Linked DNA regions of Mytilus edulis. The protein of the gene in region 2 interacts with the protein of the main gene of each other region in a pairwise test. Links are inferred from orthologs where the notes say so. Each region holds a gene or a part of one and is shown on either strand. Other genes may lie near its edges. The genes, in order: histone H4 transcription factor-like and transcription initiation factor IIA subunit 1-like.

Region 1 (7,486 bases), on a different chromosome or scaffold from region 2:
ACCTCTACCTCTGGTATCATGATAAACGTGGATCATCTTTTATTTTTGGCCATCCGGCAATAGTTTATTTCGACTCTGTTATATACCAGGGTACCCTCCTTACCCTTTGCTGACAAACTCGTACAGATCAATGGAATAAGAAGTATGGGCCATTTTAGATGCAATGTCCACCACTACCTTTGTTATAATGGCCTATGTGGAGAATTTCTTTGTTTGGCCAGCCGGCATGCAATAATTCATTTCGACTTCGTTGTAAACATAGATACCACCTCCCCCTTTTAACACTTTGCTGAAGCACTGGTACGGGTCTACGGCATAAGTGGCCATTTTTGAGGCTATGGCCACTTCTACCTCTGGTATCATGGCCCATGTGGAGAATCTCTTCGTTTAGCCAGCCAGCAATAGTTTATTTCGACTTTGTGATATACTTAGGTACCCCCCTTACCCTTTGCTGATTAACTTACACGGGTCTGGGACATACGTGTTATGGCAATGTTAGAGGTAATGCCTACCTCATCCTCTGATATAATACCCCGCGTATAGAATCTCTTAGTTAGGCCAGTCGGCTTAATTTATATTTTCGTTGTAAAAAGAGGCATCGCATCCCCCCTTTAACCTTTTGCTGACAAACTCGTACAGGTCTAGGGCGTTAGTTTTTTCAGCCATTTAAAAGGCAATGCACACATTTAACCTAGGATTAATGGCCAACTTGGAGAATCTCGTACTTAAGCAAGCCGGCAATAATTTATTTCGACTTCTTTGTAAACAGAGGTTCCAACTCCCTTTTAAACCCTTTGATGATACCGCGTACTTCTCTAGGGAATAAGTGATTTAGGCCATTTTAGAGGCAATGACAACCTCTACCTCTGGTATCATGGCCCACGCGGAGAATCTCTTAGCCATCCAGCAATAGTTTAGTTCGACTTATTATATACTAGGGTACCAACCTTACACTTTGCTGACTAACTCGTACGGGTCTAGGTCATACGTGCTCATGGTCATTTTATAGAGACAATCCCTTCCTCGACCTCTTATATTATGGCCCGCGTGGATAATTTCTTAGTTTAGCCAGCGGGCAACAGTTTATTTCAACTTCGTTATATACCGGGCTAATTCATCCCCCTTTTAACTCATTGTTGACAAACTCGTTCGGGTCTATAGAATAAGTGCTATGAGCCATTTTTAAGAGAATGACTACTCCAACATCTAGTATAAGGGCGCACCTAAAAATGTCTTAGTTTGGGCAGCCGTCACTATTTTTGGTGGACTGTGTGATATACTAGAGTATTCCCCTTACCCTCTTCTGACCAACTCGTACGGGTCGAGGACATAAGTGCCATGGCCCATGGACCATTTAAGAGGCACTGCCTACCTATACCTCTGGTATAATGGCCAACGTGGAGAATCTCTTAGTTTGAATAGCTGGCAATAATGAGGTTTATTTTTACTTCGTGATATACCGGCGAAACTCATGTCCCTTTTAATTCGTTGCTGATAAACTCGTGTAGATCCAGGACATAAGTGCTATAAGCCATTTATAAGGGTTTGACTACCTCTTCTTCTGGTATAATGGCCTACCTGGAGTATGTCTTAGTTTAGCCAGCTTTCAATAGTTGTTTTTTAGACTAAGGGATATACAAGAGTATTCCCCTTGCCCTCTGTTGACCAACACCTACGGGTCTAGGATATTAGTGCTTTGAGCCATTTTAGAGGTAATGCGATATATTGTAAAAGACATGAAATTTCATGTACAAATCATTTATAATGTGAGTATGGTCTGTATTTAACTCCTAAAAGGACATGGTATTTTGAAGTTCAAAATGAAACCTGCCAAAAATATACACATTTTATATCGGACATAAAGCAAAATTATCGGACAAAAAGCAAAACGGACAAAAAGCAACGGACAAAAAGCAAAAGTTTCGGACAAAAAGCAAAATAATCGGACAAAAGGCAAAACGGACAAAAAGCAACGGACAAAAAGCAAAAGTTTCGGACAAAAAGCAAAATAATCGGACAAAAGGCAAAACGGACAAAAAGCAACGGACAAAAAGCAAAAGTTTCGGACAAAAAGCAAAATTATCGGACAAAAAGCAAAAGCGGACAAAAAGCGAATTGCGGACAAAAAGCACCGTATCATACGTGTATACGTACTCGTGGGCGTCTAGTGTTTTTAGATGCATTTCTATTTGTATACATCTGATGAGTTAAGGCAGCAACCATTTGATTTTCTGGGGGGGGGGCTATGTTTTTTTTGGAAAAAAAGTTTGTTTCCAGTTTTCGGAGAAAAAAATAATTTGTTTTTGATTCTGAGAAAAAAAAAATTGTTTGTTTCCCCCTCAGCTGCCACTATATGTAATGCTAAAATTGAAAGAAAAAAAATGTTTTCGACTTGTTGCGAAAAAAATAGATTGTCCAGAAAAAAACCCCATAGCCCCCCCCCCCCCCCCCCCCCCCCCCCCCGAAAATCAAATGGTTCAGTGCTGCCTAAGCTTTTTAAACTGATTTTTATAGTTTGTTCTAAGTGTTGTTCTACTACACTACTGCCTCTGGTAAGGGAGGGGGAGGGGTAACTAGTACCAACAAACTAGTGTATCCCCGCCCCATTCTGTATGTGCCTGTCTAATGTCAGGAGCCTGTAATATCAAATGTTGTTGTTTGTTGCTGTGTTATATATTTGTTTTTCGTGAATTATTTTCTGCATAAATTAGGCCGGTAGTTTTCTTGTTTGATTTGTTTTATATTTGTCATTTCGGTACCTTCTATAGCTGACTAATCTATGCGGTATGGGCCTTAATTGTGCATTGTTGAAGGTCATACGGTGTATGACCTATAGTTGTTAATTTCTGTGTCTTTGGTGATTTGTGGGTATATAAATTACTTGGTTTCGTTTAACTCTCCCTGACCGGAAACCATTATCATTTCTGTGAAACAAACAAGAAAATGAATTCTGAAAGATGAATACAATTAATTTACAATATGACAAAACCCTGAGAAATTTAGGATACTAACATATACTCCCATATCAAGGATATTGTGGCAAGAAATCTGAATTTACAAGGAATGTAAATATTTCGTGCCGAAGGTCGGTGTTTCTTTCCTGGCATTTGGGCTTCCTTCATCAATAAAAAGTGACTGCCACGAAACAGCTAATAGTGCTGAAAAAAAAGTAAAAACACAAAAATACTAAACTCCGAGGAAAATTCAAAAAGGAAAATCCAAAATCAAAATCGAAAGTGGCGGTAACAACAATCAAGCAATGGCGGGACTACATTGACCATGATATTTTAGAATATATATATAGTATTAATCGGACAAAGTCATAGATGTCAGAAGAGCATACATATAAACAAGCTTTTTTGAAAATGTAACATGTTTCTAAAGACCAGCGGTCTGATCCCGGATCTATTGAACATAATTTATACATAATTGCTATTTAAAAGTATTTGGGATTTCCGATTATTCTACTTTCACTATCGTCGTTAGCGTACGTCACACCTAGCCGACAAGTCAACAGGTATGAATTAATGTAACTATGTGCGATATTATATTTCTGCATCTATTTTTCTTTCAGATTTTATCACTGAATAACTGACATTTTGATTAAGTCGAAGTTAGCTTAAACATCTAAGATTTACGTCCAAGTTGCTAGTATCATATGACGGTCACCAATATCTGCAATGTTGTAGCAGTTTGTCTGTTTGTTGTCCACATCTCTCCCCTTCGAAATAATTTATTAGGTGATTATGTTTTTATTTCGTATTATGTATGTATTTATGAACTGGTAGATTGCTCCGTTATTCGGAGATTAACGTAGCTGTGTTACTAACGTGTTAAAACGATCAGTCTCCAGATTTAAAATGACAACCCCCATGCATCTTCTTCTTCATCTTCTTCTTCTTTATATACAGAAAAACATCAACTGGTTGATGATTACTTTCCGGCGCATGTCTGGTTTGATAATATTGTTAATGATTAAAAATATATATTTTTGGTTTCTAAATAATTTTTCAATTTTTATGATACAAATGTATATGTAAGTAATATTTTTCAATTTTTATTTTTAATTTTTGGTATAAGATAAAAACAAGATACATATTATACATGTAGGTGTTTGTAAGTGTCAAGGAGCATCTCTCTAGTGAGTTTCTCCTTGAAGCACTCAGTAGTGGTGCTGCAGGCTATTGGTTCTGGTAATTTGTTCCAGTCTTTTATAGTTTGGCAGAAAAATGAAAATTTGTAACTGTCTTTGCTGCATCGAATTTGTCGGTATGTTTGTTCGTGGCTAGACCTGGTGTTTGATTGGCTTTTAATTAATATGTCAGTATGTGGTATGGCAATTTTGTTGTTTGTTATTCTATGGAACATATTTAATCTGCTTTTGAGTCTCCTTTCTTGTAATGTTGGCCAGTGGAGTGTGTTAATCATGTTTGTTACACTTTCAGTATATTTGTAGTTTGAGCATACATATCTCGCTGCACGTCTTTGAACTTTTTCTATGGAGTTAATGTTCTCTGTTGTGTAGGGGTCCCAGACAGTGCAGCAGTATTCAAGTTTTGGTCTAATAAGGGCTTGGTATGCTCGGTCTTTGATGGTTACTGAGTTTATTTTTAAGTTTCTTCTGATGAATCCAAGGGTCTTATTTGCTTTAGATGTCATGTTCTGAATGTGTTTGTTCCATTTTAAATTTGATGAAATAGTTATACCTAAATATTTTGCATTTTCAACTGACTCAATAATGTGACCGTGCATGTTGTAATAAAAATGGATAGGTGTTTTCTTTGTGGTCACTCTAAGTATGTTGCATTTATCAGGGTGAAACTGCATTAGCCAGTCTTGTTTCCATTTGATTGCTCCTTCTAGGTCTTCCTGGAGTTTAAGGCAATCTGATGGTGATTTTATTTGTCGGTAAATGATGCTATCGTCAGCAAAGAGCCAGATTTGACTATGATGTAAGTAGTCAGGTAAGTCATTGATATATATCAAAAATAGTATTGGACCTAATACAGTGCCCTGAGGAACACCTGATGTAACTGGTAAGTTATCAGAGGAATGGTTTTCTAGCATAACTGTTTGTGTACGGTTTGAAAGGAAAGATTTTATCCAGTTTGCGGCTTGATCTGATACACCGAAAAATTTAAGTTTATATAGTAAACGGTTGTGTGGAACTTTGTCAAAGGCTTTTGCGAAATCCATGATGATAAGATCGGTTTGTATATTTTTGTCGTTATTTGAACATAGTTGGTGAATTAGTGATATTATTTGGGATTCGCATGATCTATTTGCCCTGAAGCCGTGTTGCAAGTCATAAAGTATGTTGTTAGATTCAAGGTGTTTCATAATGTTGCTTGCAATTATGTGCTCTAGTAATTTGCATGAAATACATGTAAGTGAAATTGGACGATAGTTACCAGGATGATGTTTGTCTCCTTTTTTGAAAACAGGTGTTACATTTGCGTGGTTCCAATCGTGAGGTACTTTTCCTGTTTGCATTGATTTTGTAAAAATTAGAGTGAGTATGTCTGTGCATGTGTTGATGTTTTCTTTAAGCACTATTCCAGTGATGTTATCAGGTCCTGTTGCCTTTTTTGGGTTTATATTTTTAATTAATTTATAGATGCCTTCTCTGTTGATGTCTTTGTCGTCCATTATTGGATGTGTTGATGGACCTTTGTCAGGGATAACTGTATTGGTCTCAGATGTAAAAGCTGATTTAAATTGTTCATTTAATATGTTAGCTTTTTTCAAGGGATCTGTATGAAGTAGACCTTCACTCCTAAGAGGTGCAATACCAGTGTTTTCATTGTTTTGGCCTTTTATGTATGAAAAGAGTTTTTAAGGTTGTTTGTTAAATCTCGAATTTTCAGGCTCTTGTATTTCAATGTCAAAAATCATGTTTTCGATATAATTCCAATAGGCATTTCTCATCTCTTTCTGTAATTGTGTTTTAATTTGTTTAAATTTTTTAGTATGTTTGCTATCATGTTTTTTCTTTTTATAAAATTTGTTTTTCTTATTTATCAGTTTTTTCAATTTTGAGTCTATCTAAACACAAAGGGAGTGCTAGGACACCGAGAAGCCTATTATTATCGTTGGATGATGCCTAAAAACTCAAAAAGAACTACCGGGACACTCGACGGGAACAGACAAACCGCAGAGATATCTGAAGATTGATCTCCAGGTCAAAGTAGGCTTGGGGACTTTGACCAACCGAGGCCCGCAATGTAATCATTCAAGTTTAAACTCCCGCCTCGGTCGGTATCAGAGAAGTGTGGTGGGTGAAAAAAACCTTTGTGATGAACTGAAATATCCAGCGTCCCGAGTCAGAAGGCAACCTTGTTACGTACCTTCAGCACTGTAGCCATCGGTATGAAACCATGAAAACTTTAAAGAACCCATGCTGGTATGCATCTGATATACGTTCATTTATAATGGAATACCATAGAACTTTCAAAACTTAATTTCATTGAGATATTAACCTTATAATACCACTGAATATTTTCATGTCCTTCAGGACAAGCTCTTATTCAGAATAAAAGACTGTAAATTAAAAATTCTCCATCATCCTGAATATCATACAACTTGTACATTTACATTTCTGCATATATGGTATCTTAATCTTTATTTATCAAAATTTTCAACTGAAGAAACTGGTCGAGGTAATCTATATTCATGCTATTTATTTTATTTTTGATTGTTTAATTGTGCAAATCAGTGCTTCTAGCTCTTATAACGTGTGCAATTGTTTATATCACAATTTTCTAGATATCAATTCACATTTTTGTTCTGGATCTCTATTTTGACATAGTAGCTGTCTTTCAAGTGAGTCTAGTATGATTTCATGTACCACATTTACATAAAAGTTCAACTTTGGACGTTGGGAGTATTATAATTAAACTGCCTCGAGTGTTGAAATATCGTAATACACTTGTTGCAGTTGTGGAATCTATATTTATCACACTGCAGTCAATAGGGGCGTGTTCTAACGGTTTTTTTTGTTTGAATTTGAACACATTTCAAATAAGAATAAAATTGCATACAAGAAACGGAAAATAGCAGATAGACGAAATGACCCTGAATATCAATTGATTATTAATAAAATGGAAACTAGAAAACTGTAAAAAATTGAATGATATTACAGAATTCATATTTGTATAGGAATTTCTTAGTTGAATCTTCCTTTTTTCATTTATGCCCTCTGGGGAAACTGTCCTTAACTTTCTTATCCAAAATCTTTCCCGAGCGACTCTGTCGACCTCCGACCAACCCTCGTTGTGGTCTATGATTGTGGTGGTAAGTTTTTGAGATCAGCTTGGGCGTGCCCATGTGATCTCAAATGACGACTTATGGGTAGGTAGGGCTTGCAAGTGTAGTCACTTCGATGACCATTCATGCGTTAGTTGAATGGCTGCTCTGTCTCGCCAACATACTGCATGCCACATCGACACTGAACATAGAATGAGTCACTCATTTTCCTGTAATCACT
Region 2 (7,528 bases):
TTTGACAACATGGCCCATTATTTTTCAAATGGCCCATTGAATTTATTTTTGAGGGGCCTTGGGCCCATAGTGAAAAAAACCTTCCAGATCACTGATGGTATCTATTTTTGTTGTAAACTGCATGCTTTAAAACTCTCAAATAAATTTTCGATTAATAAGTGTATGCATATATGTATCTTTGAAATCTGCTCACAGTAGTTTGAGATGAATTTTAGTGATTTTTCAGTAACAAAATCTATCTTTTACCCATTTCCAAAATTACAGCTTGTGTTGTCCTTTGGAAAACAGTTATTTGGTGTTATACACATATATAAATAATAATCAAAAGTGGGATATAATTTTAAGTGTAAGCCAACACATGTTTTTAAAAAATGTTAAAACAACCCAAATAAAACTGGTTCCTGTTAATGGATCATTGTTTTCAATTGGTGAACATAGTGAACTAACATGTAAATGTATGACACCAAGAAAAGTTACAAATTATTAAATCATTTTCCTTGATATACTGGAACTAACAAAATTTCTTAGGTTTTACACAATTAAGGAATGACTGTAATATTTTTTCTGTCTATGAAGAAATAACATAAAAAATTTGGTGCACACTGAATAACGCGCGTAGCAGGTTATTTTTACAGTGTGCACCACATTTTTTATTTTATTTCGAATAGACAGAAAAAATATTAGTCATTTCTTATAATTTAATTTTAAATTCCATTTTAAACCGTAGAAAACCATGAAAAAACGTTGATGACGTCACGGTCACATGACTAAATTATGTCTATGATAACAAAATAACGTCAGCCAATCAGAAGACGCGTTATATTCTAAATTAAGTTATTGTATAATACATTCAACTTTAACTCAAAATTATTACATGAAAACCTCTACTTCTACTGTGAGTTTAGACAACTCTTAAAAGTTTTAATTTCATAAAAAAATTTTAATGATAATTAAGTTCTATTATGACTAATAATGTCACCTGTTTAAGTTCTTGTAGGACTTGCTCATCAACTCCTTCATCTAGAAAGGCTTCTCTTACGTTAGCTATCACATCATCAACAACTGACTTGTATAATCTCGGCTACAATTAGAAAACAGAAAACATTTAACATCTATCATTTCAACCTTTTCAACATTGTTTTGATTGGTATTGTTTCTAGTACAAATTTATAGCACAATTTCTGCTTTTCTTTAACAAAGCATCTACAGTTACAACTTACATGACAATCATATAAAATGATTTTTACGATTTAAGTATAAACACCCTGTATGTATGATGTAAATATCATTCTCTTAGTTTATAGAGATTTATTGATTTGTGTTTAGCTCCACCTTTAACACTACTATGCTTTTTTGTTCCTGTCAGTTTTTATTGGTGGAGGAAGCAGAAGCGCCCAGAGAGAACCCCCAACCTTTAGTAGGAAAACTGACAATAATAGTCAACTAAGATAAGACTCTTATCATAAGAGTCAAGTGCAGCTGCCTCATACAGAATTCACAGGGCAGCATAATATATCTACTTATTCATTTTTATCAAATACCTGTTTACTCGAAGAAATATTGATACAGGACATTTTTAAAGAAACTAAAGTATTACCAGAATAGGAAATGAACACCCAGATATGAGGCTTGTAATGGACGAGTAACAGCTAAAATTCTTGCCATATGATATTAGAATAACGGGAAAATTCTTGTCATATAACGTTAAAGGTAATTTTTTATGCATGACCATTAAATGTTATTCTTTCAGACGATATTTAAAATTGTTTAATGAATCGCGTTAATTTTTTCCGAAAAATGATGATACTCTGCAAGTCATGATAAGGATATTTTTTAACAAATCAAGGTAGAATTTTAACCGATGATAAAGGGCATTACTGAGGGGGGATAGGACCATTATCGGGACTCCGGAATGGGGTGTTTTTAAGCTCGGGATTTCAGGATTGAACCTTTCGGGATCTGGAATTCTTTTTTTTGAATTTCAGGACCTCAGAATTTCATGTTTTTAAGCCCCTGATTTCGGGATTTCATGTTTTTAAGCCCGGGATTTAGGGATCAGGATCCCTCCTATCCCCCCTCATTACTACCCTCAGATATCATATTGTAAAAAAAAGCATTTTTTACGTAATGACAAAATAAAGCAGATCAAGCTCACAAAATATAAGGGCAAATACAAAGTTTGACAAACGCATTTATGACATTTATACATTTGTTTTAATATTCATTTATATCCATGTATAAGACTTCTATTAAGGTTCATGTGGACCCTATGGCTAAAATGGCCGTATTTTCACCTCAATATTTACTCTGAGTACAGACAAACCTGCGCATCTGTAAAAAATTTCAGGCATAGCATGCCCTAGATAAATAAATTTCAAATATGTTTTATGTTTTAGAAAAATAAAAACTTACCAGGATTTTGCCGTGCACTTTTTTTCATTCCTCCAGAAGGTGCCAAAATAAACTAAGTTGGGAAACAGGTTTGAGAACTTCCCCACAGGTAATAATTGAAGTGAGCTGTATTGCTAGACATGGACATGAGATGGACAATAGATACCTGACAATAATTGGTTATTTAAACTGTGTACCTGAGTGGACCATATCAAGGTAAACCCAACTGTTTGTTAATTTTATCATCTTCTGCAGGGACGAAAAAAAGTGTACGGCAAAATCCAGTTCAGTTATGAATTTTCTAAATCATACAATACATTTGAATTCTATTTATCTAGGGCATGCTATGCCTTAAAACTTTTCCAGATGCACAGGTTTGCCTGTACTCAGAGTAAATTTTGAGGTGAAAATACGGCCATTTTAGCCATAGGGTCCACATGAACCTTAAACTAACATGAAAAAGGGGGGTTTAAAAGATGCAAAATATTGTGTACAATACATGAAATACAACTTGTAATGAGCATTTTAGTGGTATTTCTGATATAGCAATTAAAATGTTGGATGCTTTATGGTTTTCCACAAGTACATTCAAATTTTCATTCAGGTCCACCTGTTGTTCGGTGGTTGATTATATCAGTTTACAAATCAAGATGGATTCCATTGTTTTCGATATATGATTTTTTTTATGAACGGTATTGACATTTTAGACAACAAATATTTTAACATAACAATCATTTTCTTTTGAAACTCACCACCTGGTTAGGTGTAGCCATTATTTAATGGTTTGTTTATGTCCGAGGAAAACGAGTCATATATTCCTCTGACTTGTGGGCTGTAAGAAAGCCGAAGTCGACTGCCACTGCTGCGCTTATATAGCTGGTATTAAATCCCGTATGTCTAGAGGGCGCTGCTACTGTTGACGTCACAAGCACCTGCCAGCTGATTGATTGTCTCGCGATATATTTCGAGGATAACTTGACGCGGGAAATACGAAATGATTACAAGAAAAGATTGCATATGTTAAATTAAAATATCGAAATGCACAGAATTACTGTCCCATTGGAAATCGATATGTCGTCTAGCATTTTTATATATTTTTTTATAAGTGTTACATATGCCTATTTGAAATGCCTGTTTGTTTATCTGTGTTTAAATTCAGAAGCAACCCGATTGTTTGGATTGTATACTACGGCCAAGGATTTGTATAGTGAGACTATACAAATCCTTGCTACGACAGAGACATATATATGTTACAGTGATTTTGTATAATCAGGGATTATGTAGAATCCCTGATTTTTCAGGGAATATGTAGAATCACTAAAACCATTAGTAATTATATATATAATCCCTGAAAATGACCAGTGATTTTACATAATCACTGAACTTTTTAATAATTATTCTACAAATTCCCTAATATGATTTCAGGGATTATGAATAATTTAATTATCCTTTGTTTGATAAAAAAAAATAATATAGACCTTGCCAGATGAAATAATTTTGCTTTTAAACACAGAGATTGATCTAAAAGATATAATCAACCGTGACAGGGTTTCGAGATAAAGTTGAAGACTTCAAAATTAATAATATCAACATTCCCTTTATAGCAATAGCTTTACATGTATTGTTTGTTTATTAAAAGCCAGCGTCAAATGAATATTCAGGTAAAAAAAAGAAGATGTGGTGTTATTGCCAATGAGACAACTGTCAACAAGAGACCAACATGACACAGAAATTAACATCTATAGGTCACCGTACGGATTCAACAATGAGCAAAGCCCATATACCGCATAGTCAGCTATAAAAGGCCCCGAAATGACAATGTAAAACAATCCAAACGAGAAAACTAACGGCCTTATTTATGCTCTATTTTTAAACCACAAAGCATGTTATTTGTGATACATGTAAAGCAAATGGTGAAGAAGGTTATGGAACATCTGTTTTGTGTGTTTTTGTTTTTGTTTAAATGAACAAGACATTCAAACTGTGAGAACTTAGGCATCTAAATGTAGGGAAAACAGGCAGAACTTAGGATTGACACATAGAAACAAATTTTAGAGGAAGCTTGCATTTGGTGTAATATTCTCATAGCAATTCCACATGGTAAAAAAGGAAAAGGAAACCCGAAAAACATAATGACAATTGTTTTAAAAAAAATCTGAAAAAGGTAGCACCTGACTACAAAACATGGTATCTTTCTTGCTCGTACCGGTTCAAGGTTGCAAATTCCTATCTTTTCTTGTGGTAACCTTCAGATGTTTTACTAAACACTTAATTTCACTTAGGCGTGTCGTTAAAATCTGATTCGATATGTGCAGGAAAAGGTTTCCTAAAATGTGGATATTGTGGTAATAACAGATGTGAAGCATATTATTTTTATATATTGTTTTTCACATTTTCATGTAGTGTGCCTAACATTTAAAAACTAGAGGGTCCAAGGACCCTGTGTCGCTCACCTGATATTTTTATTTACAATTGTTGCATGATAAATGCAACTGTTGTACTGTCGTTTAGTTTCAGAGATATAATACTAAAAAGTGCATTTGAAACCTATGTTTAATTTCAGCCATGTGGGCAGGCAGGGTCATCATACACAGTGGTCCCTGGATATCCTAGTGGTGATTTAAACCAAGTTTGTTTAAATTCAACAGTTGTTTCAGGGGAGAATTTTTGTAAAATTTATCTAACAAGAAATGCAAAGTAATGAGAAAGTTGTGAAGTAGTTTTGTTGTTGCGCAACACCCCCCCCCCCCCCCCCCCCCCCCCCACTTTGCCAAAAAAACCAAAAAGGTAATAAAAAATTATCATATAAGGGCAATCTATCCTATTAATGATTTCTGCAAAATTCAGTTGATTGTGCAAGGGTTGTATAGCCAGCTGAGGTCGTTAAAAACTCTCTTTCTTTTGTTGTTGCAGATAGATCTTGACCTGATAAGCAATTCTACCACATGTCAGATTTGCTCTAAATGCTTTGGTTTTTGAGTGATAAGCCAAAAACTGCATTTTACCCCTATGTTCTATTTTTAGCCATGGCGGCCATCTTGATTGGTTGGCCGGGTCACCGGACACAATTTTTAAACTAGATACCCCAATGATGATTGTGGCCAAGTTTGGTTTAATTTGGTCCAGTAGTTTCAGAGAAGAAGATTTTTGTAAAAGATAACTAAGATTTACGAAAAATGGTTAAAAATTGACTATAAAGGGCAATAACTCCTAAAGGGGTCAACAGACCATTTTGGTCATGTTGACTTATTTGTAGATCTTACTTAGCTGAACATTTTTGCTGTTTACAGTTTATCTCTATCTATAATAATATTCAAGATAATAATCAAAAACAGCAAAATTTCCTTAAAATTACCAATTCAGGGGCAGCAACCTATCAACGAGTTGTCCGATTCATCTCAAAATTTCAGGGCAGATAGATCTTGACCTGATAAACAATTTTACCCCATGTCAGATTTGCCCTAAATGCTTCGGTTTTTGAGTGATAAGCCAAAAACTGCATTTTACCACTATGTTCTATTTTTAGCCATGGCGGCCATCTTGGTTGGTTGGCCGGATCACCGGGCACAATTTTTAAACTAGATACCCCAATGATGATTGTGGCTAAGTTTGGTTTAATTTGGTCCAGTAGTTTCAGAGGAGAAGATTTTTGTAAAAGATAATTAAGATTTACGAAAAATGGTTAAAAATTGACTATAAAGGGCAATAACTTCTAAAGGGGTCAACAGACCATTTTGGTCATGTTGACTTATTTGTAGATCTTACTTTGTTGAACATTTTTGTTGTTCACAGTTTATCTCTATCTATAATAATATTCAAGATAATAACCAAAAACAGCAAAATTTTCTCAAAATTACCAATTCAGGGGCAGCAACCTATCAACGGGTTGTCCGATTCATCTCAAAATTTCAGGGCAAATAGATCTTGACCTGATAAACAATTTTACCCCATGTCAGATTTGCCCTAAATGCTTTGGTTTTTGAGTTATAAGCCAAAAACTGCATTTTACCCCTATGTTCTATTTTTAGCCATGGCGGCCATCTTGGTTGGTTGGGCGGGTCACCGGACACAATTTTTAAACTAGATACCCCAATGATGATTGTGGCCAAGTTTGGTTTAATTTGGTCCAGTAGTTTCAGAGGAGAAGATTTTTGTAAAAGTTAACGACGGACGACGACGACGACGGACGACGACGACGGACGACGGACGCCAAGTGATGAGAAAAGCTCACTTGGCCCTTCGGGCCAGGTGAGCTAAAAATTGGGTTATCATTTTGATATATTGTGCTTAACATTTTACAATTTATGTTACTTTATAATGATGTTTTTATGTGATTTTATAGAATAAATAATTTCAATTTCATTCATTTTCTTTATAAATAAAACTATTAATTTCTTCATTTCAGTTATTATGTAGAATCCCTGACGTTTTTTCTAGTGATTATTCATAATCCCTGAAAATTTTAGTTATTATATATAATCCCTAAACTAGGCAGTGATTCTACATAATCCCTGAAAATTTCAGGAAAATTTCAGGGATTCTACATAATCACTGATTATACAAATTCACTGTAACATATACACAGTGTATATATGTCTCTGACTACGGTCTGAAGGATATAAAAGATCAGATATGTCCAAAAATTAAAGGACCAAAAAATAACACCCAAAGAAATGTACTTTAGCTAGATCAGCTTTGCCCCCAGGGAATTGAAACCCTGCTTTCGTAATCATTTCTTAATGCATCAATAGAAAAGTTTCAAATTTAGTTTGTTTTTTTTAAATTGAAAATTTTATTTAATTGAAAAAAGTAGTTGACAATAGGCCTATATCTAGCAAAATGTATAATTGGTTTAAAATCATGATTTAAACTATACAAATAATACTGAAATTCGATATTTTTTTTTTGTATTTAAGAAACTGGACAATTTCAGTAATAAGACATATAAATATTGATTTCTCGTTGTATGATACTACCTTAATTCGTCTTAAATCCGCTTCATTTCGACTTATGAATGTTGAATTATTATCTTATTTACCATTATACCATTTTTCTTAAAACATCATCACAAAAATTGAAAATTGATTATAGTAATTTATTTTGCTTTTCAAATAATGTAAATCCTTTAAAAGAGACA

Evidence for each region.
Region 1: the proteins of transcription initiation factor IIA subunit 1-like (region 2) and histone H4 transcription factor-like interact in a two-hybrid assay, tested with the Drosophila melanogaster proteins (2 studies listed by BioGRID). The link is inferred for Mytilus edulis from reciprocal best matches to the Drosophila melanogaster genes TfIIA-L and Hinfp.

What each region holds. Positions count from the first base shown.
Region 1 is NC_092348.1:81,079,854-81,087,339, reverse strand, and holds the start of histone H4 transcription factor-like, read right to left. Parts: upstream 3,227-7,486; 5' UTR 3,013-3,226; intron 1-3,012.
Region 2 is NC_092346.1:68,137,086-68,144,613, reverse strand, and holds the start of transcription initiation factor IIA subunit 1-like, read right to left. Parts: upstream 3,295-7,528; 5' UTR 3,165-3,294; coding exon 3,144-3,164; intron 1,082-3,143; coding exon 980-1,081; intron 1-979. UniProt on the Drosophila melanogaster protein: TFIIA is a component of the transcription machinery of RNA polymerase II and plays an important role in transcriptional activation. TFIIA in a complex with TBP mediates transcriptional activity.